Callithrix jacchus: one gene and its partners. The protein of the gene in region 1 interacts with the protein of each later gene in a pairwise test. Links are inferred from orthologs where the notes say so. Each region holds a gene or a part of one and is shown in the gene's direction. Other genes may lie near its edges.

Region 1 (10,576 bases):
GGCATAAAACTCCATAAATTATAGTTTAATCCTGATGGGAAAAAATTAAATTTATTCCTGAGTTCCTTTGGTATAAAAATGTTTAATGCTCCTTGAAAAATAACGTTTCTAAATGAGTAAAACTGCCTTCCAAAAGAAACAAGGCTCAACAAAATTTCAAGAGTAATCCAAAAAATAAGCAATAAAACTTTCTTTTGGTTTGAACCTCAAATAAGATCTATGTAGAATAGCAAATTTCATAGGACCTCTATTGAAGTAGGGTAGAACTAGACAATGTGAGAAGGAAATGTCACAGGAATTAGCTTTAAGATAATAACCCAAAATCTCATATACATTCATGGCCCTATCATGGTTGACTGTCTACTTGCAGGTTCCTCAGCATTGTGTTCCATGAATCAAGTAAGGATAGGTCAGACATACTGCTGTCTACCATCAGCTACTCAGAAGAAAGTGCATGCCTCAGAAAAGTCATAATCAGAAGCTATCCCTCAACTGTAATGTCCAAAGGGTAACAAATTTATCCAAGAACCAAAGGAAAGTTCAAGCTTTTGAAACCAGGTTATTTCCAAAACAGAATATAACATACAATATGTTATTTTAATTTTAAAAATAAAGCAACTGAAAGAGCACTTAATAGTAAACTAAAATGTACTTAATTTACTATGATTTGTACCAATGGAAGTAAGCTGTGTGGCGCACTTAAATGCATAGATGACTCCAAATCTACAATATTTTCTTTTTTGCCCCACATATTTATCTTCATGATTAGTTTTGATAAAGCTAGTAGTTATTCTCCAATAGAAAGAGGAAGTAACACTTGACACTTAAATGTTTGCATAGATAGATAATATGTATCTAGTGATCATATAACAAGACATTTAAATCCTTGAATGAAAGAACGAAATCTCTGAATCCTTCCTTACTCCCTTTTATGGATCATGTAGCATAGGGCCTTGCAAAGAACAGGTGTTCAAAACACAAGTGGTCAATGAATATTCACTTACAGATAATTAAGACTCCATGCTCATGTACTAAAAGAAATAAGTATTTTTAGTTTTTTGGTAGTTCTCTTATATTAGAGTAAAACAATAATTCTAGGTTTTGCTAAGCATTGTACTTTTTGAACTACCATAATAAATTACTTTTGTATATTAATTTGTTAATATTAGCTATTCTAACACATTTTAATGGAGTAACACAATACATGTGTAAAGCCCAATGCATATTTTCTTAATAAGTGGGCAGCATTCCTCTGCGTGGTAATTAAGGGACTCTCTTTATCTCTGGGGTTCGGCCTGTCCTGGGTCTTAGAAGTTTCTGCATTCAGCTAAAGGATGGGAGCCCATCGACTAGAAAATGTATATCTGCTGCTTAACTGTCTCAGCCTGAGAGAGACCAACCACCTCAGCCCACAGTCCACCGATCAGAACTACCTACTTAGAGGAAAGCAGTGTCAGGCTAGAAATGGAATCCCTTACTGGCAGATAATTCACAGGGGGAATCATACTAAGGAAGGAAAAATACAATTTTCTGATAGACAAAAAGTTGTCTTTTTTTCAAGTTTTTGCCCCCTGTGATTTCTTGATAAGCAGGACATTGTCAAAGTCAGCATCTGGGAACTGAAGCAACCCCTTCAAAATGTAAATTCCAAATATAAGTATTCTCATGCAAGTGGTAATATAATTATGGACTGCTAGGGCAGTCTAACATGGGGGTTCCCAAACCCTGGGCCACAGACTGATATCAGTCTGTGATCTGTTAGGAACTGGGCCGTACAGCAAGAGGTGTGCAGCAGAGTGAGCAAACATTACTGCCTGAGCTCTACCTCCTGTCAGATCAGCGGTGGCATTAGATTCTCACAGGAGTGCAAACCTTTGTGTGAACTGTGCATGCAAGGGATCTAGGTTGCCCGCTCCTTATGAGAATCTAATGCCTGATGATCTGAGGTGAAACAGTTTTATCCTGAAACCACCCCCAACCCCCACCCATGGAAAAATTGTCTTCCACAAAACCAGTCCCTTGTGCCAAAAAGGTTAGGGACCTCTGGATAGGACAGAAAAAGAGTGGCAGTAGGAAAGCATAGGACATCTGAAACAATATCTGAATCAAAAAGATGATCTGGCTGTCTACTTCAGAAAGCCAGGTGTATGAACACAAGTAGTCTGTAGTTAATATGCTGCTGTCCTATTTTCCTTAAAGCAGGATCTAATTTTGTTTAAGAAGTGTCAGTGTTGCAGCAGTTATGGAATCATACACAGGCATTAAAAGTTCCTGTTGATAATGTGTTGGGAAGTGATTATGAGTCATAACTACTTTTTCCCCACACATACCTTAGCTAGGAGGTGTCCTAGACTTATAGCGGACTAAAGGGTGTGCCTGAAAGGTGTGCCTTTATTTCCTATCTATCATAAAATTTTCTATGGTGCTTACATTTTAAGCCTTCTGATCTTGGTTCAAAGATGTTTATCTTATACCTGGTAGAAAGTCCAAGTAACAGTGGGAACTTCATTTTCTTTCTAATATGTGAGAGAGAGTGTCTTGGCCTTGGAAATGAGCATCTCTGGACATGGTTTCCTGGTCTTTTCTGAAACAGGTCCTCTTCACCCACAGGTCTTGGCATCGCTCCCTCACTGTGTGCCATCTGGCCAGGGACCAACTTCCCAAATCTGCCTTAGCAACCAGCTCTGCTCGTGTTCAGGAGGCTGTTTTCAACAACCCCTTCCTGAGATTACAGTGATGTCTCAGAGCTCATAATTTTATGTTCTCTGAAAATTCTAGGCTTTATTGAGGGCAAGGACCATTTTCAAATATATTCTCCCCCCACCAAATTACCCACCACAGTGTCTGGCATATAGCAAGTACAGAAAATGTATTTATTGAATGAATTGTCTAATTGCCACCCAGTATCCTGGGGTTGGAAATGGGGCAGGAGAATCTCAGTGCCAGTGGCAGCCCCCCTGGGCTGGTGGGCCACACCCTGCATCTGCTCCCTTTGCTAGGCATCCACAGAAGTATCTAGTGTGTGTTTCTTTTCCGTGCAGTCCACATCAAAGTCATGCTGCAGCACCATCAGTCTCTTACTAAAACTTAATTTTCAAGTTTGAGCTTTAATCTAATCCTTGTCTCCAAAACACTTCTCCTGGCTCCATCTCCCAGCTCCCTAAACTTGTTTATCTTTTCTTTGTGTGTGTGGTGTGTCTGTTGGGGGGGGGGTACCTTAAATCATTTATTGGACCCGTGGTCCAATTGAGGAAACAGAAAAACCCTGATACTGAAGGACTTTGGAAATATAATAGGAAGGATGAAGGGTAATACATTTTTTCAGATTTCCTCATAATTGCCCCAAAAAGCTCCAACCATGTTGCCAGTCCTCGGGTGTTGCGGTTGTTCAGGGAGAGGGGCTGTGTGGAGGTGACCTTCTGGTAGAGGGAGACCGGCTTTTTCAGACTCTGTGGCTCAGCAGGCGGGCCAGGAAGAAGCATTTGGACCACTATCATTCTCAGCCCTGGCGCGCCTGACATTCTCTCCTTCACTTTCCTTCCGACCGGAGGGACCAGTGTGGGGATTCGCTTTGGGCTCCAAGGCTCTGCCCGCACCGGCAGCACCAAGCAGGTGTCGAATGATTGGAAGGAGCAGGGAAGGAAGATGGGTGTCACCTGTCCCGGCCAGAGGCTGCGTACGTGTGTGTGAATGGGGAAAAGGTCACCCTCTTCCTTGCTTCTCCTCGGTTCTCCTTGGAGACCCGCAGGGCTGCCGCAAGGAACTCCGAGTTGCCCGGGGTCGCCGGGGCTCGGTCCCATCCTCTTCCGCCAGCCCGCTCCCGCGTTCCACAGCGCCCTGGAACTGTGGTGCACGCCTGGGTGGGACACAGTAGCAGCCGCCACACCGCCAACGCAAAAGCCCCACTTTCGCTTGGCAAAAGCAAAAACAACCGTACACCCCATCGCAGTCGCAGCTCTTCTCCGAAAGGTAAGTTGTTTATCCGTCGCCGTTTCGGCGATACTCCCTGGACAGCTGCGACAGCGACAGCAGCTGCGCCGCGGGCGCCGAGCTCCCAGCCTCTTCCTTCCTCCTCCCTCTCAGGGCTGCCTCACACCCCCACCCCCTTCTCTCTTATCCCCGCCTTCTCTCTCCTTGCCCTCTCGTGGGCCACGCACACACCAGGAGACACCCTCCGCACTTGGCTACTCACACTGCGGCTTAACCTAGCCGACAAGGCACGCTTGCCAAACAGGCGCGGGGGTGTGTGCGGGGTCCGAGTTCGGAGGCCACAGAGGGGTGGCGTGGTACAGCCCATCTCCTCTGGGCCGCGACCCCTTGCCCACTCTCCTTCCCTAATCTCGGCCTGCCAGCAACAGTGACACCTGAGCAGGGACTGGGCGGTGGAGGCGGCAGGCCCGCTGGTCCGGCAGCCAGGAGAAAACAGAGCGAGGGGCGGGGACAACCAGGAGGAGCGGGAGGCGGGACGAGCGGGGAGGCCGCCACCTGGCACTGAGTGATGCACAACCGAGCCAATCAGCGCGCGGGACTCCAACGTCGGGGCGGGAGGTCGGGGGCGGGCTCCGTGGGGAGGAGGAGGTGGCCGGCGCGCGAGAGGCGGGGGCCGGGCGGAGGAAGGGGAGGAGGCGGAGGCGGGCGCGGTGGCGGCGGCGGCGGAGGCGGCCGAGAGGAGTAGGTTGTGCCCGGGACTGTGTCTGCCGAGCTCCGCTGCTGTGCCCGTGTGAGTGGAGAAGCGGCGCGGGGAGGCGGAGGCGAGCGCGGGCGATCGCGACGGCGGGACGTCTCTGGCGGCCGCGGCACCAGCGGCGGCGCTCGGTGTGGAGAAGCAGCGGCAGCGGCAGCAGCAGGAGCTTCAGCGGCAGCAGCGGCGGCCGCCTCTCCGCCGCCGGGGACGCCAAGGTGCGGCTGGTGGCACTGACACCGGCGGCCCTGCCTCTCCTCCCTCGCCCCCGGCCCTCCCCATGTGATCGGTCTTAATCCCGGCCGTGTGTGCGCGCGTGGGGCTCCATTCCGCGGTGCCGGGTCTCCGTGCCGTGGTGGGTGCTCCTGTGTGCGCTTCTCCTCCCCATCCCCCTTCCCCCAAGAATAAAAGAAGAACCGGGAGGCGTGCTCAGAAAATAAATAAATAATCACCACACACGCGCAGCCCGGAGCGAGTCGGCGGGGCTGGCGGCAGCGGCGGAGGAGGAGTGAAGGCGGCGGCGGCGGAGGAGGGACGCGCGGAGAAGGCAGCAACTTTAAAGCCAGCTCAGAGCCTAGACCTCCAGCCGAGCGGTTTGCAGCGCGGCGGCGGCGGCGGTGTTGAGTGTCTGGCCCGCCGGTCCGGTCGGGGTGTGCAGTCGGAGGGACGAGCAGCGCGTCGCTGTCCTCCGGCGGCTGGAGATGTCCGAGCCCAAGGCAATTGATCCCAAGTTGTCGACGACGGACAGGGTGGTGAAAGGTAAGCGGAGCGCCGCGGTGGCCCGGGTGCACCGTGTGCCGCAGGCGCCAGGGCAGCTAGCCTCGCCTCCCCTCCCCCGCCCCGGGTTCTCCTCTGCCCTCTCCAGCCGCAGACCTTCTAGGATATTGTGCAACCCGCGAACCCCCCGCCCCCGCGGCGCCCTTCCCCCACGCGTCCCACCCGTCCTCACTTGGGGCATTTTTATTGACGGGGGCGTCAGTTGGCAAATGGCTGAGCGGCGGGGAGGCGGCGGCGGGGGTGGCGGTGGCGGGAGGGGGCGCCCGGGGGGTGGTTGCTGGCAGGGTGTAGCTGCTGTGACAGAAATAGGAAGTGGGTGGCTGCTCTCAGGCTTGCATGGGATCGGGTTTATGGTTTTCTTCTGCAGAGGGACGGGTGATTTATGGCTTTTAAAAAATTAATATGGCATTTTTATGTGGCCGTGGCTTTCCACCGACTGCCTCGCTCGGGCAGGGTTCTGTGGGCGCTCCATTGCAGCAATTCCCTCCGCGCCCCTTCCCCCTCCCCCTGGAAGGGCCTGCACAGGACTCGCGAGAGAGCGGGAGAGCGTGGGGGGAGCCAGGCGCTTCCTTCCGCGCGGGGCGCGGGGCGGGGGAGGGGGCGGCCGCTGGCTGGAGGGTGGCCGCGGGGGGCGCGGGAGGTGGGTAAGGACCCGAGAGCACCAGCCGTCGCCGCCCAGGGATTTCCCTCGCACGCCCCTGGAGAGACACGAAAACCACTTCTCAAGCCTTCCTCGCTATCCCCGGCTGTCCCCCGCCGACCTGTCATTGCTTCTGAAGGGTTCTCCACTCGTGCACACCTCCCAAGTGATAACCTCATTCCACCTGCTTCCTCCGTGCCCTGGCATCCCTTTTGTAACGGGCTGTTTGATTCCTATTGTTATCGCCCCCTCTTCCCTGCCTCCGGGGTGATATACTCCTGGCGGGAATGGCACTGGGGTTGCTGGCAAAGAGAAACTGGGATTTGCGGAGTTAGGAAGGGGACAGGCTGGGGTTCTCTTTATCGCAGGGTAATCCACCGGCCTCCTTGTATTCCTAGGTGTAGTGAGGGAGGAACCATCCTTAGAATCCTGGAAGGATGAAGCAACAGAGCAGATCCACCTTGATTAAGTAGTATCTCTCATTCCTGGGGTCAGGACAAGCTAAGCAGAGATGGGCATGAGCTGTGAGCTAAGCGGGCCTCTGAAATTGGAAACAGCACTGGCTGGTGTAATGTGTATGTGTGTTGTGTGTAGAACAGAGATGGTATCTAATGTGGCCAGAGCATGCAATTAGGGTGCAATGCAATCAAGTCGTTTGCACCATGAGCACTTAAGTGAAGTGACCCAGCAGCCCAGAGACCATGATACACAAGTCCCTCTGGGATTTCCGAAATGATCCTTTCTCCTTACAGGCTTATTCAGTTTTGAAAGTAATTTTTCTGTGTGAGTGGTGGTGGTGATGGGGGAAATTGTTTTCCCTTTTTTCAGAAAGAACAAAATATCTTCTTTTATTTTGGTTATACTGGAATCATTCCTGCTTCAGTTTCAGTGCTTCAGATTCGTATACCCAGAACATAATGAGGAAATAGCTCTGCAAAAATGATTCGAAATAGGGCTGCAGAGAGATGCACAACTATTTTATTTTTTCTGCCGGCATGGATTTTCATGGAAAGAGACCTGTGTTTTGCATTAAAGGCTTCTGTTGACATTTTCAAAAATTGAGACTCTCTGCTGAAATATCAGAGAATGACAATTATCTCCTTAATGTGTGAAGTTTAGACGTAACTCCAATCTAGGTTAAGATCAAAACAATGTAAAGCTTACTATTCAAATGATACCAGTGGATGTGTTGGCAATTAAAAAAAACAGTCCTGCACAGGTAAGGTCACAGTCCCTGTTTTAAATCACAGGATGTGGATTCTTAATGTGAATGTAAAGTCATCAGGTGAACATGTAAAAATAAATGTTTATACTCTCTGGCTTAGTGTCTTTATCATTTAAAATGGAAGAGCCCACTCAACCATTCCAAAGTTTTTTTGCCTTGCTTTTTTTCAATGCTGTATCATTATAAATGACTTTTCATTTTAGGTACACACACCCACTCATAATTTCAAAAATTCTATTTACATACTTTTGCAGAACTGAAATACAAGTGTGGATAATAGACTCAAAATAGGAAAAGTTAATTTTGCATTTGTTTTGATAGAGATCCTGATGTCAGATGTGAAATGTGAAATTTTGTTTATAGAGGTTTTGTTGATGAATCCTGATTTTAAGGTGGATGCACAGTTGCTGTTTATCCTATGTTTTCTTGTAGACTTTATATTATCAGCATGAAAGGCATTATCCAAGGTTGGATTCAACATTTTGTCATAAATAACATTTTTATGATTAGTTATTGAAATAATCTATTTTGATTATTAGACTTCTGTGAAATAATATTTCCCCTTGAATATGTATACTACTCAATGAATGGAAAGTATGTGTATGCTGGATGTGAAACATTAACAAATGATTTTTTTATATTTGCAAAAATTAGATAATATGGAGTTAAGAGACCATGATTTTACTTGAAATTTTGTTAGAACTCCATCTCAATGGCCATTTAACTCATTCTTTAATACAGAAAAGAAATTATCTTTAAGGAATTATTTGTGCCCCTTAAGTTTTCTCTTTTTTACAAAGTATATGTAGTATTATTTTCTATACATAATACAGAAATAATTATTCAGACCGTTATTACCATGGCGCGCCATGATATTTACTTACAGTTTTCTTTGTTAGTGTCATCTGGCTTTTGTTGTATAACAAATTGCTCTTTGCAAATAAAGATGTGCTTGTGGTTTGTAGTAACATGATGTGACTGTTTTCCTAATTGTGCTTTTAGAATGCAGCTTCAGAGAGGTAGGTTGAGTTTGTTTCAACTATGTTATTTTTGAGGTTTATAGAATCTGCTAGTATGTATTCAGAGACCCTGATCAGTTTTCTAAACTTTAAAAATGAAAGAGAATGATGGCAGTGGAGACGAAAGGTATTCATTTAGATTACCCCAGGAGAAAAAGTTACTTCAATTAGCAAAACTAGTGCTGTTTCATTTTGACTGCTCTTGGATTAAAATAATGGAAAGTAGAAAAATTCAGAGAAAACATCTCGGTAATGACATTTGCTGGAAATCAAAATAATTTGATCCATTTATTGTTCTACATTATATTTTTAAAGAGACATACAGCAAACTGAGGGCAATAAATAGAAGAACTATCTTCTTCTCCCCAACCCCATCCTGATTTTTCTCTTAGTTGTATTCTACAGGCTTTGTTCCAAACTTTGGCTTTTCTCTATTTCTCTCTATTCCTGCCCGGAATGCATTGTCTGGCCCTAGCATTCCCTATTGGTCACAGAACTTTGCTACATGATAGTTAAAAATACTTAGATGAAATTAAACCCTGTGTGATAATGAGTGTTTGGCTTTGTTACATCTCTTAACCTTCCTTCCCTCTCTTCCCATCTCCAAGTATTTTGTGATGGGACTTTTACCTTAACTCAAACTGATTGTAATGGTAGATATTTTAGAAACTATGGCAGGCTGCTGAGGGATAAATTTCTGGGTAGAGTTTTGTGGAATCTCTCAGAAACTAAGTGCTTTGTGTAAGGTTGCTTTTGGCGCTACAAAATGAGCTGTTTTCCAGGTGTATTAGCTTATGTACTTTGTGTAGATAGAGTACTCATAGGAGAATTCTGAAAAGATACTAGGGTCATAGAAGCAAGATGATGCTAGTTAAGTTAAATGTTAGTAAATAGGGATTCCAGCCACTAGTATTTCTAGCTGGGTGAGACTGGTAATACTACTTAAAAAGAAAACAAATATGCTACATTGGTAGTAACTGTAGACCATGATGCAGAGGAGTGGTAAATAATGTCATTTATTTGTGGTGTTCTAAGAAGAACTTGTGAATTTATTTTATTGACATTTTCTTACCATCAGTTGATTTTCGAATATCTGGTTTTCAATTTGAGTATAGTGAAACCTTATTAATTCAATATCACAAATTTAAATTTATTGTGAATATCATCAGTGTTTGTTGTCTGAAGTTTACATCACCACTGGATGTGAAAAAAAGGGTACCAGTAATCTAAAAGTATAAACAACATAGTTTCAGCATGGTTAATATACTAAGAGAACAAATTATTTTCAATACTTAGTGAACAATATGCAAATTCATGCTGTTCATTACAAGTTAGGTTGGTCTATTTATTAATGTTTCCTTTTGGGACTATTACAAAATGACCATAACACAAGTGCATTGTTGTAAAAACATTCAGTAAATTTAAGGATTAGTGCAACAATTGAGACTAGAATTCAGGGGCATTCCAGCGATTCTAAAATACCATCAATTAGAATAATCAACATTTTGAAGATAATGGTTTTTTTTTGGGAAATAACCCTTATTTTAATTTAAGACATCTAGTAAAAATGGGAAAAATTAACATCTAGAATCTAATTATTGAGGTTTACTCTAAGATTTGTTTGTTTAAAATTATGCCTTTTAAAGTCTATTTGTTTCTTTATGATTTGTTTTATTTGTAATTTTAGATGAAATATGACTTTGATATACTATTCGTTTATAACTTTTGTAGTTGATCCCTTATGCTTTTTTTTATCTTTTTTTTTGTGTCAGCTATGTGTAAATTTGAAACTAATTATGACATCAAATAAAGAATCCATTTAGAGTGACCTCATTGGAAAACAACATTTTTGCAGAGATACTCTCCTTTAAGCAAATATGGTTAAATTACCATTTTGAAAATTTAATGAAAATATGTCATCTATTTCTAGAACTATAAAGAATGGTGGTGATTCATGAAATAGAATTTTGATAATTACTAAAAAATCATTTTGTCAATTTTTTTCAGCAACTTTCTGATGTACCAGTCTCTTGATATACAAGAGGGATATGGTGAGACCTTGAACTCCAACTTTCTGTAATTCCACTGTTACATGTTATAACTTCACAGGCTAACTTTCCCTATACGTAAAAGGGGAGTAATTGTATCCACTGACAACTTGTGAGGACCAGAGGATAATCAAATGGGATATGGGAGGGTGGGTGGTGGTTATACTTTGTCCACTACCTGGTATT
Region 2 (10,472 bases), on another chromosome or scaffold:
CCGCAGGAGACGAAGGCATGGGGGCTTCTCTGGAGGCTGATTGATTGCTCACTTGGAGCTCAGGCTGCAGGCTGCCGTCTCTCTGGGCATGACCCAGGGCCCCCACCATCAATCACATCTTTGGAAGCCAGGTATAACCAAGGCCCCGGCAAACAAAGACTCTCCTATCAAGCAGGATATTCCAAGGGCTGAGAGAGCACCTCCCAGAAACTGCGGACAGAAATCAACCTCTTTTTAGGCAAGGTTAAATTCTTTTTCTTTTTTTCTCTTTTTTGAGATGGAGTTTCGCTCTCGTTGCCCAGGCTGGAGTGCAGTGGCGCGATCTCGGCTCACTGCAACCTCTGTCTCCTGGGTTCAAGTGATTCTCCTGCCTCAGCCCACTGAGTAGCTGGGACTACAGCCACCTGCCACCATGCCCAGCTAATTTTTTGTATTTTTATTAGAGATAGGGTTTCACCATCTTGGCCAGGCTGGTCTTGAACTCCTGATTTCAGGGGATCCATCTGCCTCGGCCTCCCAAAGTGCTGGGCCAGATTCTTTACTATGCACAGGGTCCAGAGAGGAGATGCAGTGCACCCAGGGTCACACAGCTGGTGGCCTGATTCCAAAGTCAGTGTGTGTGCTGCCTTCAGTTTTTCTGAGCCTACAGCTTTCATCAAGGGGCAAGTGAACCAAGAGTTTGGCCTGAATGGCATGGCTTCAGGTCCCCTAGGTGCACATGCTTTCTGTGGATTCAAACAGACTGTCCCGGACAGCCCAGAGGTAACCTGCCCCTCAGAGGAACACCCCTTTGGTGAACAAAGGTTGCCCTGAGAAGCCCCCTGTGATTTCACATACCACAGCCAGGTATGCGATCCCCACTGTGCACCTGCCATCCCTTCCTCCCGAGGTCAGGGAAAGATTTGCTGACTCTGTCGGTAATCTATCATTGCTTAACAAACTATGCCAAAACGTTGAGGCTTCAACATCAAGCTTTTATTATCTCAGAGTTTCTGTGGGTCAGGAATTGAGGAGTGGCTTAGCTGCCTGGTTCTGGCTCAGGGTCAATCAGCCAGGGCTATAGTCTCATCTGGTGGCTGGACTGGGGCTGGAGGCTCATCTGGTGGCTGGACTGGGGCTGGAGGCTCATCTGATGGCTGGACTGGGGCTGGAGGCTCTGCTGCTGAGGTGCCTCCCTCATGGCTGTTGGCTCAAGGTCTTAATTCCTCACCCGCATGGGCTTCTCCATAGGCCACTTGAGCATCCTCATAACATGGCGGCTGGCTTCCCCAAGAGCAAGCAGTCTAAGAGAGAGCAAGAAGGAAGTTGCCATGTCTTTCATGACCTCACCTTGGAAGTCTCGCACCATCATGTCTGTCCTATTTTGTTTGTTGGAAGCAAGTCACTAAGTCCATCTTACACTCCACCTCGTAGGGCCGTAGTTTAGAACCTCCACACTGACCCTACGATGGTCACTTAGGAACATTGCCCTGATGGTGGTCACGGGAGGCCTGAGAACATTAGGAAAAATAGGTCCCCCCAACCCCTTATACTCAGCGCCTCCTGTTGGTCAGGGGCTCTGGTGCTTGAGCTAATTTAATCCTAGCCTGGCACTGTTTGGGGCAATCCCCAGAGTGACGGGTGTAGAGACAAAGACTGATGGTTTTGGTTGCATTTAAATGTTATTTTATTTTTTTTTTTTTTTTTGAGATGGAGTCTCACTCTGTCGCCAGGCTGGAGTGCACTAGTGTGATCTCGGCTCACTACAACCTCCGCCTCCCAGATTCAAGCAATTCTCCTGCCTCAGCCTCCCGAGTAGCTGGGACTACAGGCATCCACCACCATGCCCGGCTAATTTTTGGATTTTTAGTAGAGATGGTGTTTCACCACTTTGGCCAAGATGTTCTCAATCTCTTGACCCCGTGATCCACCCACCTTGGCCTCCCAAAGTGCTGGGATTACAGGTGTGAGCCACCTCAACACCCCCCCCCCCCGACTTTTTTAAAAAATTAAGACAGAGTCTTACTCTGTCACCTAGGCTGGAGTGCAGTGGAACAATCTCAGCTCACTGCAACCTCCACCTCCCGGGTTCAAGTGATTCTCTTCCTGCTTCAGCCTACCGAGTAGCTGGGATTACAGGTGTGCACCACCACACCAGGCTAATTTTTGTCTTTTTAGTAGAGGCAAGTCTTCACCATGTTGGTGAGGCTGGTCCCCTACTCCTGACCTCAGGCGATATACCCACCTCGGCCTCCCAAAGTGCTGGGATTACAGGTGTGAGCCACCACTCCCGGCCAGCATTTAGAATGTAAAGCACTCCTACTTACTCTGTCATGAGCATGTCCTAGGCTCAAGGGAAACACAGGTGAATGAAGTAGTGACTGTCCTCCTGGTGTTCACAGCAAAGAGCGACAGAAACGAAAAAAAAAAAAATCATTGATGAATGAGTGAGTGCAGATGGGCAAAAGCGGGAGCCGCAGGTCTGCTGGGGTGCCTTTCCCAGGGAAGAGCCTGGCGCACTGGGCTTTGAAGGATAAGGAGGAGCTTGTTACTCTGGCAGAGAAAGAAAGAGCGTCCCAGGCCAGGGGAACAGCATATGCAAAGGCATGAAGGGGCCCAGGGAGCCGGGGAGTCTGGGGAAGTATGAGTGCTTTGGAGTATAGGGGCTGATGGCTGCAGGTGAAGCTGGAACTAGCTGGGCCACATGGTGAAGGACGAAAACTGGACCCAGAGGCTGACTGGCCTGTGAGCCGCATTTCCCAAAATCTGTTTCCCGACTCATGGTTCTGTGAGATGTGACAGGGGCTCAGTTAGCATTCCTGAGACTCGGGTTTTCATCTGTGGGGCGGGGACAGCGGCGCCCTTTGCTGTGAGGCGTCAGGACTCAAGTGACGGTGAATGGGGGGGCGGCCCACGGTTCCTGGCGGCCACTGATCCTGTCTCTCTGTCATGTGTGTACGTGCGTGTGTGCTCCACGCCTGGCTTCTCAGGCTTTAAAATGTGTGTCAGCAGCAGCAGCAGCAGCCACGACGAGGCCCCCGTCCTGAACGACAAGAACCTGGACGTGCCCGACATTATCATCACGCCCCCCACCCCCACAGGCATGATGCTGCCGAGGGACTCAGAGAACTCAGGTGAGGCCGCCCCCTGCGCCAGCAAGCCGGGTCGGATCTGGGGGCCCAGCAGAGACCGCTCTCAGGGGCATGCTTCTGGGCACGGGACTGAGCTTGCATCCTCGCCTCCCCCGGGTTCATTAACCATTTAGTGTCAGACTTGTGTACACTGCAATGTGAGCCCCCCGCCAAGGCGCCAGCCTCAGCGCAATGTGGCGTGTTAAGTAATTAGTAGACAGCCCCTGCCAGCCAATTGATGGATGGAGCCAGGCTGGCCCGCCACGCCAGGGCTCCCGCCAGCCAAGGTAACTGATGGATGCTCCTTCCCCTGCCAGCGGGAGGACCACTGCTCCATCTTGTTGGCCGCTGCCGTGTGGCTGGACAGGACAGACTTGGAAACACAGCCCACGCCCATGCCAAGGCTGGGGCTGGACCCTGGGCCTTCCAGATGCAGCTCACTGCCGGGAACGGGGAGGAAGTGGAGTTCTTCCCAGTGAGAGGGTGCGGGGGTGGGAGACAGAGCCCCAAATCGCGCTCCCACCTGCCCCTCTGGAGCTGGTGGAATGACTCGTTCACGTGTTCAGCGAGCAGAGATTTATTGAGCTGGGCCTACGCCAGGTACTGAGGCTGCTGCTGTGAATAATAATAACAATAATGGTGATACCAGGTCGTGATAGGTAGCACCGTACTGAGTGTAATGAATGGATTTCCTTTTGTCTTGTTTTGTTTGAGACGGAGGCTCACTCTGTCACCCAGGCTGGAGTGCAGTGGCGAGATCTTGGCTCACTGCAACTTCCAACCTCCAACTCCCGGGTTCAAGCGTTTCTCCTGCCTCAGCCTCCCCAGTAGCTAAGATTACAGGCATGGGCCACCATGCCCAGCTAAGTGTTTTGTATTTTCAGTAGAGACGGGTTTCTTCATGTCGGTCAGGCTGGTCTTGAACTCCCGACCTCAGGTGATTCACCTGCCTCGGCCTCCCAAAGTGCTGGGATTATAGGCATGAGCCACTGTAACTGCGCTATTTTTATTTATTTTTTGAGATGGAGTTTGGCTCTGTTGCCCAGGCTGAAGTGCAGTGGCGTCGTCTTGGCTCACTGCAACTTCTGCCTCCTGTGTTCAGGTGATTCTCCTGCCTCAGCCTCCTGAGTAGCTGGGATTACAGGCAGCCACCACTATGCCTGGCCAATTTTTGTATTTTAGTAGAAAGGGGTTTCACCATGTTGGCTGGGCTGGTCTCAAACTCCTGACCTGAGGTGATCCACCCACCTGGGCTTCGCAAAGTGCTAGGATTACAGGAGTGAGCCGCTGCGCCCAGCCACACCCCCATTTTAGAAATGGGTAAACTAAGGCTCAGAGAGGTTGAGACACTTGCCATGCTGCTGGTTGGTGGTGCAGCAGGGATAGAACCCCAGGCTATGTGATCTGAGCTTCGTCCCACGGCCCCCAGGCCGGACGCTCTCCCTGCGGGTGGCACCAGTCAGCTGATAGCCATCATGACATGGGTCCTCCTGGACCCGTGCAGGGCACACAGCACCCATGAGGCTTGTGTAGGGTTTGTGGAAGGCTGTCTGGGAGGGGGACTCCATAGACCCTTCCACATGTCCTGAGTTTGGGTCTCCCCTTGCTCAGTAGAGCAAGTGACTGGGAGAAAGCTGTCAGGCCCCCTGGGCTGGGCCAGCGCAGGTGTTATGGTGGTTGCAATAGGGGCACATTCCTCTGTGACCTTTCCGAGTGCATGGCACTGGCTAAATGCTTTTCATAAATCTCATGTAATTCTCATTCCAACTGTGAGGTGGTGAAGACCACCCTTATCTCTAGTTTAGAAATGGGGAAACAAGCCAGGCTCCATGATTCACGCCTATAATCCCAGTACTTTGGGAGGTCGAGACGGGCAGATCACCTGAGATCGGGAGTTCAAGAGCAGCCTAACCAACATGGAGAAACTCTGTCTCTACTAAAAATACAGAAAATTAGCAGGTATGCCAGGGGGCGCCTGTAATCCCAGCTACTCTGGAGGCTGAGGCAGGAGAATCGCTTGAACCCACGACGTGGAGGCTGCAGTGAGCCAAGATCGTGCCATCAAACTCTAGCCTGGGCAACAAGAGTGAAAACCCATCTCAAAAAAAGGAAAAGGAAAAGAAATGGGGAAACAAACAGGTCCAGAGAGGGACAGTGCCTCACACAGGGGCACACAGCAAGGTGGGAGAAGAGCTGGGCTCCGGCACCACAGTGGTGCCTAATCAGAGAGCCAAGTGTGGGCAGACAGAGGCCCAGTCCTTAGCTCGGCTCTCACAGTCCCTTCCCTCTCTGAGCCTGTGCCCTCACCTATAAAGTGGGATCATACCATCTTCCCTGCTCCCAGGACCAGTGTGGGCACAGCGGAGACACAGGGTTACTCTCCAAGGTCCAAGCCCCAGGGAGGTTCCTGAACCCTGGGACAGGTTTCTCTTAAATTTAAGCATCTCCAGGGTCTGATTCACCCAGATGGATCCACCATCACTGGGTCCCATCTCAGCCTCTGGCAGCACCAGAAAACAAGGACACCCAGAGACCCCTGCCCTGCAGCTCCCAGGGAGGCGGGCCTGGGTGTGGTGGGGGCAGGGTGCATCCAGGTGTCCATCCCTCTTTCTCCTAGTCTGGCTGGATGAGACAGGGTCATGCCCAGATGACGAAGAAATGGACCCGGAAGCCTGAGGCGGTGTCATCCAATGATCTGGTGGACTCTCACTCCAGCGTCCTGGCTTCAGGTGTCCGGGGGCGTGGCTGCCTGGGGAAGGTGGGCCGAGCACCATGGATGGGAACAGCAAATCCGGGCTGCCGCTCAGAAGGACGTGGCAGGACCAGCAAGGAATCCGGCCTGCCTGCTTCTACAACAGGGTTTCCCAGGCCCCGCTGAGTGGACGCACCCCTGACGCCTCCAGGTTCTTGCCGACTCTAGCCTGGTAAGAGAGAGCGCCATGGTCCTGGCTGTCGGGGTCCCAGGGAAAGGCCTTTTTCTGGACAAACACACCCTCCCAGTCCCCTGGGCCGGGCAAACATGGGTCTCTGCCATCAACACAAACAAGAACGTCTTGCAGGCGTAAAAGTGTTCTTTTACAGATATGGAAACAGTCCAAAATGGGATTTATAATTTCTTTTTTGCATATAAATAAAGATCCTCTGTAACAAATGGTCAATCCTTTTCTCTTTTTTCTTTTTTTTTTTGACGTGGAGTCTCCCTCTTGTCTCCCAGGCTGCAGTGCAGTGGCATGAACTTGGCTCATCACAATGTCCACCTCCCGGGTTCAAGTTATTATTTTGCCTCAGCCCCCTCAGTAGCTGGAATTACAGGCAGGAGCCACCACACCCAGCTAATTGTTGCATTTTTAGTAGAGGTGGGGTTTCCTCATGTTGGCCAGGCTAGTCTCGAACTCCTGACCTCAGGTGATCCGCCCACCTGAGCCTCCCAAAGTGCTGGGATTACAGGCATGAGCCACCGCACCTGGCCTCAAACAGTGACTCCTGCTTCTTGGGTCAGGAGGCGGCGGTGGATGGAGCACACGAGGCACAGCGTGGGTGTAAGAGAGACACTTAACACGGAGGAGCGGGTCTGGTGTGCAGGCCGTTGTGGAGGTCTTGAGCCCCTTCTTTTTCAGCCTGTGTGGAGGCTTCAGCATGGCCCAGGCCTGGGCTCTGAGGTCACATGGACCTCGTTTGAGTCCCAGCTGTAGGATCCTGGTGATAACACACCTGTAGGGTGAGAGGCAATATTGTGTTGGTTTTTCTAACAACCTCACATCGGTGCCAGGTGTGGTGGCTCACTCTTATAATCCCAGCACTTTGGAGGCTGAGGCAGAAGGAGCTTGAGACCAGGAGTTTAAGACAAGCCTGGGCAACATAATGAGACCTTGTCTCAATCAGTCTCAAACACTAAATGGTCAGTGTTCCCAGCTTCCCACAGAGCACTCTGACATTGGTGTGCATATGTGTGTAGTGTGTGTGTGCATGAGTGGGTCTGTGCAGGTGTGTGCATATGTGACATGCATACATGTGTGCATGTACGCATGTATGTGCATGCATGCGTATGTATCGTGCATGTGTGTTTGCACATGTAATGTGTACATGTATGATGTGTGTATATGGGTGCAGTTGTGTATATGTGGGTGAATGTGCATCTGTGTATGTAGGTGTGTGTGTATGTGTGTATGTGTGATGTGTGTATGCATCTGTGTATGTGGTATCTGTGTGTACATCTGTGTGCATGTGTGATTGTGTGTGTCTGTGTCCATGAGTGTAGGTGTGTGCATGCGAGTGTGTGTGGTGTTTGTGTGCAAGTGTGTGATGTGTGTATGCATCTGTGTATGTGTGTGTACGTGTGTGCATGTGTGATGTGTATGTGTATCCATGTGTGTGTGCAGGTATGTGTGGCTGTGTGTGTGTGTATGGCGTGTATTCATTTTCTGTGGCGTCTCCTGAGTTTGGTTTTTCTTGTGTCTCAGGGTCCCCAGAGCAAGGCCTGAGCTGAGGCTTTGGGCGTAAGGGGGAGATTTGGAGGCGGTCCCAGGACACCCATGGGAGTTGGGAAAGGCAGTTCAGGGGTCCCCAAGACCACCCCCAGGTCTAATCATCCACCAGAAGAACTGAGAAAAGCCATGTGCATCTTGTTGATGGCTTATGATGGCAAGCAGATACAGATTAAAATCAGCAGAGGGCAGGAGACCCCAGGACAGGACAGGCGCAGGCTCCCAGCCATCCTCTGACCGCTGAGTTGTGGAGAGTGGGCAAGTGCTAACTTTTGACCACGATGTGGGACCACACGCACAGAGCATCACCAACCAGAGACACCTCGAACCTCAGTGTCCAGAGGCTTCATCGGGGCTCGGCCACATCGATGTGGCAGACACCGCATGGCTGACCTTAGTCTCCAGCTTCTCCAAAGGTCAGCTGACAGCATGTAGCCCCAGGCCCCACCATAAATCCCATGCTGAGCCTAGGCCACCCTGTGTAGCCCACGACCTCGGCAAACAAAGACACTCTCATCAGGCAGGACTCTCTGAAGGCTACAAGTGATGGGGGAAAGGCCAGGCCTGTCTCTGGACATGGCTGATCTTTTGTTGTGCAAGAGGCCAGGCAGGGTGGGAAGGAGCTCGTAAGGTGCCATGGAGGCCTCTGGGGAGGCAGTGTGGATCCCTTCAGTGAGCGGGCCCCTGAGGGGTGAGATGTGGGGTGTGTATCCTCCCACTCCCACTCATCACTGGCCAAGAGCAGCTTCCAGAGTCACCCAGCATTCCCGGCCTGTCCACCCACGGACAGCAGTGCTCACAGAGGATGTGTGTGCACGCACCGGGCTCTGAGTCCTGGGGATATGGCGGGCCCCGTGGCTAGGGCCCACTCTCTGGATACGTCCTGCACGCGGCCACAGGGCCAGTCTCAAAAGCCCACGCTGTGTTCAACACTCTGTTGTCGCTCCTTGAAATTCTCAATCAGGGTCCAGCATGGTGGCTCGTGCCTGTAATTCCAGGGCTTTGGGAGGCCAGGGTGGGTGGATCACTTGAGCCCATGAGTTCAAGAGCAGCCTGGGCAACATAGAGTCCCATCTCTTCTAATTTTTTTCTGAGACAGAATCTCACTCTGTCACCAGGCTGGTGTGCAATTGTGTTGTCTTGGCTCACTGCAGCATCTGCCTACTGGGTTCAAGTGATTCTCCTGCCTCAGCCTCTCGAGTAGCTGAGATGATAGGCATGTGCCTCTACACATGGCTAATTTCTGTTTTTTGATGTGGTGATGGCATTACAGCCACCTGGGGGCCTCTGCCTACCGTCCCCCTCAGCCCATCCTCCTTACAGGTTCACACCTGTTGGAGGAACCGGTCCACATCCTGGGAAATGGGGAATCTTTTTAGCTGCCTGGCAGTGGCATCTAAGCTGCTAAGCCACCAGCCCATCCTGCCTCAGTGTTTTTGTTTGTTTGTTTTTGTTTTTGAGATGGAGTCTCACTCTGTCATCCAGGCTGGAGTGCAGTGGCACAATCTCCGCTGACTGCAGCCTCCGCCTCCTGGGTTCAAGCGATCCTCCTGCCTCAGCCTCCAAGTAGCTGGGTTACAGGCACCCCCCTCCCCACCACGCCCAACTAATTTTTGCATTTTTCGTAGAGAAAGCGTTTCACCATGTTGGCCAGGCTGGTTTGAACTCCTGATCTCAAGCAGTCTGCCCACCTCGGCCTCCCAAAATGCCGGTGTGAGCTACTGCACTGCCTCCAGCTTTTAAACTTCGGTATTAAGGTATTACCTGGACAATTAAGTCTACTCCAAAGTCAGTGTGCAGCAAAGTCAGGTGCACGTGTGTGTCCACCATGAAAGCACCTCCCTGATCGAGAGAGGACGTCGCTGTGACCCTGGCCACAGGCTTCCCTGGGCCCTTGGAGAGGTCGTTGCTGTCCCCATCCCTGGCCATGGTTCCTCTGTCCTGTTCTTGCCCTTCATGTACATGGAATCTTCCTACGGTGGACCGCCTTTGCTGAGTAACTGTTGTTCCTGCGGGCTACAGAAATGCCTTAGGCTGGGTAATTTATAGACAGTAAAATGTATGGCTCACAGTCTTGGAGGGAAGAAGTCCAGGAGCAAGGTGTCAGCAGATTTGGAGTCAAGTGAGGGCCTGTTTTCTGCCTCAGAAGAGGGTGCCTTTGTACCACGTCCCTGCCCGGTGGAGCGGGCGAGGCAGCTCACTTTACACCGCACCCTCCTGACTTAATGGCTCCTCTCGGGGCCTCAACTCTTAATTCTGTCTCACTGGGGTTGGGTACTGTAACTCACACCTGTAGACCCAGCACTTTGGGAGGTGGAAGCAGGAGGCTCACTTGAGCTCCGGAGGGGGTCGAGACCAGCCTGGGCAACATGACGAAACCCCGTCCCTACCAAAAATATAAAAAATTAGCCAGGTGTGGTGGCACGAACCTGTAATCCCAGCTACTGAGGAGGCTAGGGCAGGAGAATCACTTGAACCCAAGAGACGGAGATTACAGTGAATCGAAATCATGTCACTGCACTCCAGTGAGTGGGCGTCAGAGTGAGACAAGAGAGAGAGAGAGAGAGACCAGAGAGGCGAGAGAGAGAGCACTGAGACGTGTATGTCATCTGGGGCTAGAAGATCCACTTCCAAGATGGCACATCCACATGGTGAGGCACCTACCAGGTGGCTGCCGACTTGGGTCTGGGCTCTTGTTTTTCTCCACAGAACTTCTCCCTGGGCAGCTTGGGCTTCCGCACAGCATGGCAGCTGACGTCCAAGTAACAGCATCTCCGGACAACCAGGTAGAAGCTGTATGGCCTGTGAGACCCAGTCTCTGCAGCCACATGACATCACATCTGCAGTAGTCATGGGCACCCTGATTACAAGGGAGGGA
Region 3 (10,253 bases), on another chromosome or scaffold:
ATGCGCCACCACATCCAGCTAATTTTGGATTTTTAGTAAAGATGGGGTTTCACCATGTTGGCCAGGCTTGTCTCGAACTCCTGACCTCAAGTGATCCATCTGCCTCAGCTTCCCAAAGTGCTGGGATTACAGTCGTGAGCCACTGTGCTTGGCCCAGACTTCCTTTTTTCTAAAACATTAGTTTGGTAACCAACCTAATATTTTTTTCCTCCACTTCTGGCTGGGCATGGGGTGGCTCATGCCTGAAATCCCAGCACTTTGGGAGGGAATGGTGGGTGAATCACTTGAGGTCTGGCCAAAATGACAAAACGCTATCTCTACCAAAAAGACAAAAATTAGCCGGGTGTGGTGGTGGGCACCTAGAATCCCAACTACTTGGGAGGCTGAGGCACAAGAATTCCTTGAACCCAGGAGGCAGAGGCTGCAGTGAGCCAGGATCATGCTGCTGCACTCCAGCCTGGGAGACAGAGCTAGACTCTGTTAAATAAAAAGTAAAATATTTTTCCTTCACCTCTTGCTCTGCATCCTCTATCTCTGTTCTTCCTCTCCCAGTTGTTTCCTTCCCTTTTTCCCCTTATCTTCCTCCAATGACTTTCCAGAGGATGCTGCATCCCTCTGGTGCCAATGCCAAATCCTGCTGATGTTGGCAGAGCAGTAGTTTTCCCAGTGACCTTGGTTTTATTATTTTCAATTCTCTGGGTTCACATCAGTGTTGTAATACAGTCAGTTTTACAGTCCACAGAAATGATAGTGGTGCCTTGAGAGGTGTATGGCTGAGGGGTCATGATGCAGAGTCCCAGTTCTACCGCACAGGGTAGAACTACTCACCCACTTCCCTGCCTCCACATCCTCACCATGGAAATAGGAGCACTGTTGGTACCTACCTTGTGAGGGCGGTTCTAGAATTATTCAAACACATCATCTAAGATGCTCTGTACAGACCCTGGTACATTGTAACCACTCAATGTCAGTTCCTCTTGAAAAGCATCATCCAGGCCCTGTTTGCACAGAGTTAATTGCTTCTGTACTTTTTTTTCCCTTTTCTTATTTTTTTTGAGAGAGAGTCATGCTCTATTGCCCAGGCTGGGGCGTGATCTCCACTCACTGCAACCTCTGCCTTCTGGGTTCAAGCAATTCTCCCACCTCAGCCTCCTGAGTAGCTGGGGTTACAGGTGCGTGCCACCATGCCTGGCTAATTTTTTGTATTTTTAGTAGAGACAGGGTTTCACCGTGTTGGCCAGGCTGGTCTTCAACCCCTGGCCTCAAGTGATCCTCCCACCTTGGCCTCCCAAAGTGCTGGGATTACAGGCATGAGCTGCTGTGCCCGGCTGCTTCTGGTACATTTCTTAAATGTCCTGTGAAAGTTATCTGGAATGGGATTTGCTGGGAATTCATTTTATAGACAAGGCAAGGATGCAGTCTTGTCAGATATGGTGACTTAAAGGTCATCTTAAAGGACTTAGGTTTTCTTATATTGCCAAAAGCCTTGTGGGTTTAAATCCTTAATACTGGTAGGGGCTGGGCATGGTGGCTTATACCTGTAATCCCACCACCTTGGGAGTCTGAGGCAGGAAGATCACTTGAGCCCAGGAGTTCAAGACCAGCCTGGGCAACATAAGGAGACCCTGTCTCTACCAAAAAAAAAAAAAAAAGCAGCAGCAGCATCTGGGCATGAAGTCACATGCCTGTGGAGGACTGAGCCAGGGATTGTGCCACTTGCACTCCAGCCTGGGCAACAGAGCAAGATCCTGTCCCAAATAAAAATAAGACAGCTATTCTACCCTGTCTGCACCTAAATAAGCTCATCTTATTTTTTGGTCTGAAATTGTTGCAACTCCCAGGTCTGCTAGTTTTCAGAAACCTTGGATCTCAATAAGGAATAGTTCTCATGAGTATCATGGAATTCTTTTGGCTTAAAGTTCAAAACTGGCAAGAAGCAGGGCTAGCAACCCATAGAGAGACATGAAGAACATTTTCATAGACATGTTTGCTGAATGAACAAGGTTGACTGAGTTTTGTTTTGTTTTGAGACAGGGTCTCACTTGGTTGCTCAGGCTGGTGTGCAGTGGCACATTAGCAGCTCACAGCAGCCTTGACCTCCTGGGCCCAAGTGATCCCCATCTCATCCTGAGTAACCAGGACTACAGGTGTGCCACCACGCACGCCTAGCTAATTTTTAAATTTTTTTTATCTCCCTATGTTGCCCAGGCTGGTCTCAAACTCTAGGACTCAAGCCATCCTCCTGCCTTGGCCTCACAAAGTCAGCCACTGCACCCAGCCCTGAATTCTTAATTACAACTAAACTTGATGCTTATGGATTTTCCTGCTTTACAACTCTTGTCTCTTTTACCTGTAAATTTAAGATCTTGACAGCTTATATTTGCCTTTGCTTTTGTGTTCCAATAGTTCTATCCTTGGTAAGCCTCTGTGGAAACTACAGAATCTTACAAATATAAAACATTTCCAGAAAAACATCCAAAAATGGACACCTGACATTTATATGCCCTAATATCTTGATCCTGTTGAAGAAAGGAGATGAGCACAGCTGCTTTTCAGTAGTTCTTCACTCCACCTTACTAGGTTCATCTGGATGCTATGCTGTGGGGGACAGACGAGGAAGCTGGGATTGTGAGGGATTCTACTAGACTTTATGGCTGGATCGCCCAGGAATACTCTCATAGGGAGTACTAACCCAAAAGCAAGTCAGCTTCAACTCTAACAGCATCACCTTTCATAAAGTACATGTTAATGCTTTATGTGTACAAATAAATACTTGTGGTATTTTTCACTATGGCAAGCTCCGAAAATGCATGAAGATACGTAACCTAGTCAATCAGGTGGGCAGATGGTGCCTGCACCCTTTGCTGTGACTGAGACTGGAATTGTGAGCAATGTCCTCTCCTGTTCTCCACCCGCCTCCCCACCCCACCACCCCACTTCACTGACAGTGGCGATGTCAAGTAGGCAGCTAGGAATGTCCTAAAGGGAATCATGGGTAACTTGTAAGCTACCTCAACTTATTTTTGTTACTATGTAAAGTATAAGATGGATGGAGCTGGGTTCTTGTGCCTTTCTCACCTTGTCTGCATAGAGATGCAGCTGCTCCTGCAGGTCAAAGTTCTGCGCGAATCACCTCCACCTGCGTACTATTGGGAAACAAAGGTCTGAGAGCCTGTTTGGTGATGAACCACGATGAACTCCTTAACACTCAAGCCACTCCTCAGAAAGTCGGGTTTCTTTCCGTTTCCATTCATATATGTAATTTTCGCTTCAGACAAACAGGACACCTATTCTATGCAGTTTTGAATCCCTCTTTTAAAATGGGATGTCTGCCTTGTCTAAATTTTCTGAGGCGGAGGAGAGGGGAAGTGTAATGGGACCGTCTATAATTTGAAACCCGACCTCACTACTTTGCGTCTCAGAAAACGCGGGGTTCGTTGCCCTGGTCCCCGCGGTCCCCCAACCTTCCGGCTGGCTCTCTCGCCGTCCTCGCCTCGGCGCTGAGGTGGTCAGGCGGCAGGGATTGGCGTCCGGGCGGAGCATGGTGGACTTCCCCGCGGCAGGCAGGCTGCTGCTGCAGGTGGGTCCGGGCGCCCGCACCGCCCCCCACCTCCCGCGGACGCCCCGCCCCTGCCCGCTCGCTCCGCTCGCATTGGTGCTGCGGGCTGTCTGTCCCCGCGCGGTGGGGAGGGGGCGCACTAGGCGGCGGGTTCCGCAGAGGGCGCCTTGCTCCGTGCGCGACCGCGGCTCCCTGGAGGCCTGGGTGCCGGGCCCCGCGAGCGCGCCGCGACCTCAGGAGCAGTGTTGACCAAGGACCCCTGCGCCCTCGGTGAGTGAAGGCAGGGCGGGGAGGCTGCGGGGGAGGAGGGCCGGGGGCAGTGTCAGGTCTGCGGATCGCAGAGTGAGCAGGGGGTGTCCATTGGACACTGGGGATCCGGGCACCCTGAGGTGCTGGGATCGCGGGAGGTGGCTTGTCTGCAGGAATCCGCGGACAGGGCGACCCTCATCAGGTCTGCCCACCTATCTCCTTCGCGTTACAGCTGGTCTTAGAAGCAAGGGTTGCCGGTGGCTTTTTTCCTTCTTTATCCCTTTGGGGAAATGTGATTTTGGGTTTATAGCCATTACATTATAATTCTACAGACAGCTTGAAGCTGGGTTATCTGTTCCACGCCCCCAGCATTTTCCTTTTTGAGTACTTTATCCTGCGCGCTGTCTCCTGCCATAAGGGGCATCAAGCCAGAATTCGAGATTCCTTCCTCCAGGAGGAAGCTTCGTGGTCCATATCTGGTGCTGGGAAGGATACATTGCTTTCCTCGGGTAGTGGTTGCTCTTTGCTGCTCAAGGGAGAAAGGGAAAAAGGGTGTTTTCTGTGACAGGAGACTTGCAATTCTGTCAGGAAATGAGCACAGGGACTTTAAGATTTCCTGAGGCGATAAAGATACCCTTGCTGGTTAAAGGGAAATCATTTGCAGTCTGACATTCTGCAAAGTTTTAATATCTACAGACAGAATTATTTTCCCCCTTTCAATTAAATTTCTGTTTGGGTATTCATTTTATTTCTAGAGTGTATATACATTTAAGTAAGCTTCTCAAACCATTGGCTTTGCACAATCCAGGTTAGTTTCTAAATGATACACTCCTAAACATCTCATTTCAATATTTCTATTATGTGATAATACATCCTCTGCTTAACAAAAATGCTCAGGTGCTGAAAACTCACAAGAGGTGAGAAGATTTAAAGTTATCAGCTGAGGTTCTAGTGCTCACTGCAGCATATAAATGTGAGGAGAAACACTGTCAAATGGTTCATATTTTAGTTCTATCATTGTTCTAGAATGACTTTATCTTTCTCGTAGAGGCATCAAGTATGAAACACCCAACCTAAGGGAATATTTACTTATCATAAACTGATTTTCAGGGTTCCAGTTCCTTCTACAGCTCATAAAATTATGGGTTACCCAAATGAAACTTCAGTGAAGGATTTACATGTAAACAGTATAAAGAATGAGTCCCTTTGCTTATTTTAGGGCGTCCACCCACTAAAATTCATAGGATCTTTGTTAGATAATCACCTCCCATTTCCATTCTTTAGTGCTATCATACCATTCTGTGGATTAAATTTTCAATACACTTTTATATTATCTAACAGTTTGCCAATTGCATAGTTTGTCAACTTATTTTTGGCTTTTAAATTATTTCCTGAACCAAAAAAATAAAATATAAAGAATTTCAAAAGCTTGGTTTTCAAATAACAAGAACTCAGTCTGGTCTTGGTTCAGTTATGAGTTGATTAATGGGTACCTTGTGGTTAAATGACCATTAATCAGTTTTTAAATTTCTTTACTATGAATATACTGCAGATTAGTATCCCCAAAGGATTCATTTTCTAATGAAACTCTTAAAGCCCAGTTTCAGAACATAAGCTTTAAGCAACAAGTAATCTTGTGTTTAATCTGAGCTCTGTTACAGCGATGCCTTAATCTCAGCCAAACTGCTTCATCTGTACCACCTTGGTAATATTGTGGTGAGGAATAGAAATGTATGTAAAGTGTGTGCACTGCCTAATACCCAAGAATTGCTCAATAAATGTCAGCTATTATTACTGACCTCCAACTATGTGCATATTATGGTGGAAACATGATACAGCAGATATAGTACTTAAATCAAAATGTCAAAATTATACAACTAATTTAAGAGTGTAGAATGACAGTAATGCTAAATTTTTCTAAGAGTATGTATGAAAAGTAGCACTTCCTTGATGGAACATACATTTTTAGAACAGAAACCTTATGTTATAATGGAAAAACTAGAGTGTCAAAGTCTCTACTTGTAACTCTGGCTATGACTTTGTCTATCCGCATGGCTTTTGACAAGACAGTTGCTCCCTTTTGGAGCTCAGTTTTGTCATTTGGCTGGATTTGAGTAATCTCAAATAATCTCTAAAGTCCTTTGCAGTTTTAAGTTATTTATTGAGTGTGATAAAAATTACATTAGCTTGCTTTTTATCCTGTACTTCATTTTTGGTTCTTGTTGTTGATTGCTTAACTTGCACTTTAGAATCATAAGCAATTCATACAGACAGCACAACTAAAGAACTGATAATATCAGACTTGCAGAGTAATCCAAAATGAAGTTTCAACAAAGAGGATAAAACAAAATAGAATTACATTGAACTCTTTAATAGGGCCAAAATAAACCCCAGTCTTTATTCTCCAGCCATTTCATTAGTAAATACATGGAAAATATGTCTGGTAGAATCTTATACATTCAACTGAAAAAGTCTCCATAGAAAATAATAGTGAAAAGCCTCATAGTGAAATAAAATATCACTTTCTTTTCTCTCACCAGGTTGATCTTTAAATAAAGCAAAAATTTATCCAGTAAAGGGCTTCCATGAAGAAATTTAAGGAGAGAAATTGCAAGCAATAGAGAAAGTAGGCATTTCTATACTAGAGAAACCACCTAAAACAACTGCATGGAGTAAAATGAAAGGAATGAATACACCTGGAAGAAATTTTACCTAGTGTGACATTTTTGCCCATCTTTTTGTCACAAAAGGCTAAGGAAGAGAGAATATAGTTCTCTAGAGAATAAGAGTACAGTGTGAAAATGGCAACCACAGTTTCAGAAATTCATGTAGAAAACAAGGATGAGAAGAGATCAGCAGAAGGTAGTCCTCAGGCTGAAAGACAGGAGGAAAAAACATCCATGCTTTGCTTCAAGAGAAGAAAGAAAGCAGCTAAAGCATTGAAGCCCAAAGCTGGCTCTGAAGCTGCTGATGTAACAAAGAAGTGTCCCCAAGAAGCAGGAGCTTCTGATCAGCCAGAGCCCCCACGGGGGGCCTGGGCCTCACTCAAACATCTTGTAACACGAAGGAAAAGGTTGGAGTCTTCAAAGCAGCAAAAGCAATTGGAGGCTGAAGTGCAACCTGAAATAAATGCTGAGGATGCTGGTCTTTCTAAGAAAAAGGCAAAATCTAGACTTAAGATTCCCTGCATAAAATTCCAAAGAGGGCCAAAAAGGAGGAATCATTCCAAAATTATAGAAGACTCAGTCTGCAGCATCAAAGTCCAGGGAGAGGCTGAAAATTTGGATATACAAACACAGACCCCATCAAGCGATCAGGCAACAAAGGCTACGTCAACCCAGGATCTAAGTGAAGGCATCTCACGGAAAGATGGTGATGAGGTCTGTGAATCAAATGTGAGCAATAGCATAACTTCTGGAGAGAAAGTGATTTCCGTAGAACTTGGATTAGATAATGGGCATTCTGCTATTCAAATGGGAACTCTAATCCTTGAAGAAATTGAAACAATCAAGGAAAAACAAGATGTTCAACCCCAGCAAGCAAGCCCACTTGAAACTTCAGAAACAGACCATGAGCAACCAGTACTTTCTGATGTTACTCCTTTACCTGCAATCCCAGATCAACAAATTGTGGAAGAAGCCAGTAACAATATCCTAGAAAGTGCACCAAATGGGAAAGACTATGAAAGTGGAGAAACTGTAGCTGAAGAAACTAAGCCAAAAGATACTGAATTGAGCCAAGAACCAGATTTTAAAGAAAATGGGATCACTGAAGAGAAATCCAAATCAGAAGAAAGCAAAAGAATGGAGCCAATTGCTATTATTATTACAGACACTGAAATCAGTGAATTTGATGTTAAGAAATCTAAAAATGTCCCTAAGCAATTCTTAATTTCAACGGAAAGTGAGCAAGTAGGGGTTTTTGCTAATGATAATGGTTTTGAGGATAGAACTTCAGAACAATATGAAACACTCTTAATTGAAACAGCCTCTTCTCTTGTCAAGAATGCGATTCAGTTGTCAATAGAACAGCTGGTTAATGAAATGGCCTCTGATGATAAAATAAACAATCTTCTACAGTGACTTACTCTCCAGAGTCATGGGAGAAAAACCAAGCTTAATGAAGAATTATTTTATACATTTGTGGCATTTCTTACTCAGTAACGAATGAGAGATTTATCATCTCTGGAACTTAAAGGTACAATTACAGTGCAGAAGTGCTAAAGATGGTGAAGTTTATAAAACTCTACCACTGAAATGCAGTCATTTCTGGATTGGAGGAAGTCAGCACGGATCGCACTGTGTAAAGTAACACAACATACAGGGAGTTGCTAAAACGGCATACGGAGACTGGAGTGCTTTGGGGGAGGAAAATGTATTTATTGAGCACTTATGGTATGCCATAAGCTCTTTAATGACCTCTGATATAACAAAGTCTGGTTTCCTTTTGATAATTCAGCTCTGTGTATAGGCTAACATCACAATGAGTTTTTAAAAACATTTTTTATAGTGGACATACATGTTGTTTAAAATGGTGAATAAGGTGAGCTACTTTTGTGAATGTGATTTGTAATTGTTACATTCCTAAACATTAGGCTTAACTCGAAAAATATATTGCATTTTCCCAATTTCAGCAGATACTGTGCAGAATATGCATATTGAAATTAAATATGAGTGGTTTTCTAGTCTTGCTTAAGTCCTTTATAAGAAAGAGCCATTTGGCCAGACGCAGTGGCTCATGCCTGTAATCCCAGCACTTTGGGAGGCTGAGGCGGGTGGATCACTTGAGATCGGGAGTTCAAGACCAGCCTGGCCAAAGTGGTGAAACCCTGTCTCTACTAAAAATATAAAAATAAGCTGGACGTGGTGGTGGACGCCTGTAATCCCAGCTACTTGGGAGGCTGAGGCAGGAGAATCGCTTGAACCTGGGAGGTGGAGGTTGCAGTGAGCCAAATTCGTGCTATTGTACTCCAGCCTGGGTGACAAGAGGGAAACTGTCTCAATTAAAAAAAAAAAAAAGCCATTCACAAATCCTTCAATCAGGCAAATTGTTACTATGTACAGAAGGGTAGAAACAGGGAGTGGGTTTTTACCTCTCTTCTTTCTGCCTCAACAGATCTGTATATGTCCATTTCTGCATGGATTTATCTGTGAAAAATTTAAAAATGAAACAGCAAAAACAAAAGGGGAATATTATTCTTCATCCAGGAGAAGGAAAAATTCCCTAGTAAGTTGTCACAGATAATATAGGATTCATCTTGCAGAATTAACTTCTTTAAGAGCCATATTCATCAACCTCTCTCCAAAGAGGGGAGAGCAAATTCAAAGCCAGCTTGGTAGTAATGGTCCTGGAAAATCCTAATAATCTAGGGCAAATATTATTTATTCTTGGCCAAAAATGAGCCATGAATATGGTTGAATAGAAAGTGAAAAGTTATTGCTGAAGCACATAATTTAAATGTCAGTTTTCCTTTGTGTCTATGTGTTGAGAGAGACTAGTAAAAAGCATTTTACATGGATATTGAAAATTAACTTTTTCATCGCTATTTTCAATCCAGATATTCTTTACAAAAATGAGAAGGGCTTATTTGCATTTTTATTTACCGATTGAAAGGGAAGTATCTAATCTCATCAGTGATTGCCATATTTTTTTAAAAAGTAATCCTATTTCAGTCTCCTTGTGTGAAATGGCCATAATGCACTTCCCTACCTCACAGGTTAGGATTCAAAGTGTATAGTCTCCCATTGTGTAAATTGAGTGATTGTGTTACTACTTGAAACAGATGAAGTAATAAAGTATGGGATGTAAGGCATTTGTTAAAGATCTCCACTTGGAGGAAAGAATGCATATTAGCTGATTTTAAATGATCTTGGTGAAGTATTGCATTGCTTATGGATTGACTATAGAAAGTATTCGCTAATTTGTCCTAGAGAATCATCTTTGTTTCATTCTGTAAATACACATTGAGACCTCTAACAAAAGAAACTAATCTGACTTTGAAATTGAACCAAATCATGGATATTATTGGCAAGATTCTTTGCTGAAGTGTAAAAATATTTCCCTACCTTCACACATATAATCTTGTTGTGGGGGGAATCCTTCACTTTAGCGAGATGAAGTGTGTCCTTTAAAACACATGACCCAAGAAGTCAGTTTCTTTTAATTGTACAACTTTTAAACATTAAAAAAGATGAAGTCATCTTCTCTGAAAACACTCTAACTCACTATATGTGGTGCTAACAGACTTGGACAGCTACCAGCAAATATATATCATATTTAAAAGTGAACAGTTTTAAAAACCTAAGGTTGGTGCATTTTACAGTGTATTGAAGAATCCTGTCCTCATTTACTGCAAAGATGCCTCCAAGCCAATACACTTGCATTATAAATGTGTAGTAATCTCTCATCAAAAAGCAAAAACTATAGTACTTACCAGTTATTGAAA

The links.
Region 2: the proteins of PPP3CA (region 1) and C20H16orf74 interact in binary tests that used the Homo sapiens proteins (3 or more experiments, as listed by UniProt). The two-hybrid records come from large-scale screens. The link is inferred for Callithrix jacchus from reciprocal best matches to the Homo sapiens genes PPP3CA and C16orf74.
Region 3: the proteins of PPP3CA (region 1) and AKAP5 interact in binary tests that used the Homo sapiens proteins (3 or more experiments, as listed by UniProt). The link is inferred for Callithrix jacchus from reciprocal best matches to the Homo sapiens genes PPP3CA and AKAP5.

The regions. Positions count from the first base shown.
Region 1 is NC_133504.1:96,028,965-96,039,540, forward strand, and holds the start of PPP3CA (protein phosphatase 3 catalytic subunit alpha), read left to right. Parts: upstream 1-4,648; 5' UTR 4,649-5,382; coding exon 5,383-5,440; intron 5,441-10,576. UniProt on the Homo sapiens protein: Calcium-dependent, calmodulin-stimulated protein phosphatase which plays an essential role in the transduction of intracellular Ca(2+)-mediated signals. Many of the substrates contain a PxIxIT motif and/or a LxVP motif.
Region 2 is NC_133521.1:43,376,003-43,386,474, reverse strand, and holds the end of C20H16orf74 (uncharacterized protein C16orf74 homolog), read left to right. Parts: intron 1-2,969; coding exon 2,970-3,113; intron 3,114-5,727; coding exon 5,728-5,786; 3' UTR 5,787-6,261; downstream 6,262-10,472.
Region 3 is NC_133509.1:99,113,209-99,123,461, forward strand, and holds the start of AKAP5 (A-kinase anchor protein 5), read left to right. Parts: upstream 1-3,716; 5' UTR 3,717-3,829; intron 3,830-6,348; 5' UTR 6,349-6,609; coding exon 6,610-7,890; 3' UTR 7,891-10,253. UniProt on the Homo sapiens protein: Multivalent scaffold protein that anchors the cAMP-dependent protein kinase/PKA to cytoskeletal and/or organelle-associated proteins, targeting the signal carried by cAMP to specific intracellular effectors.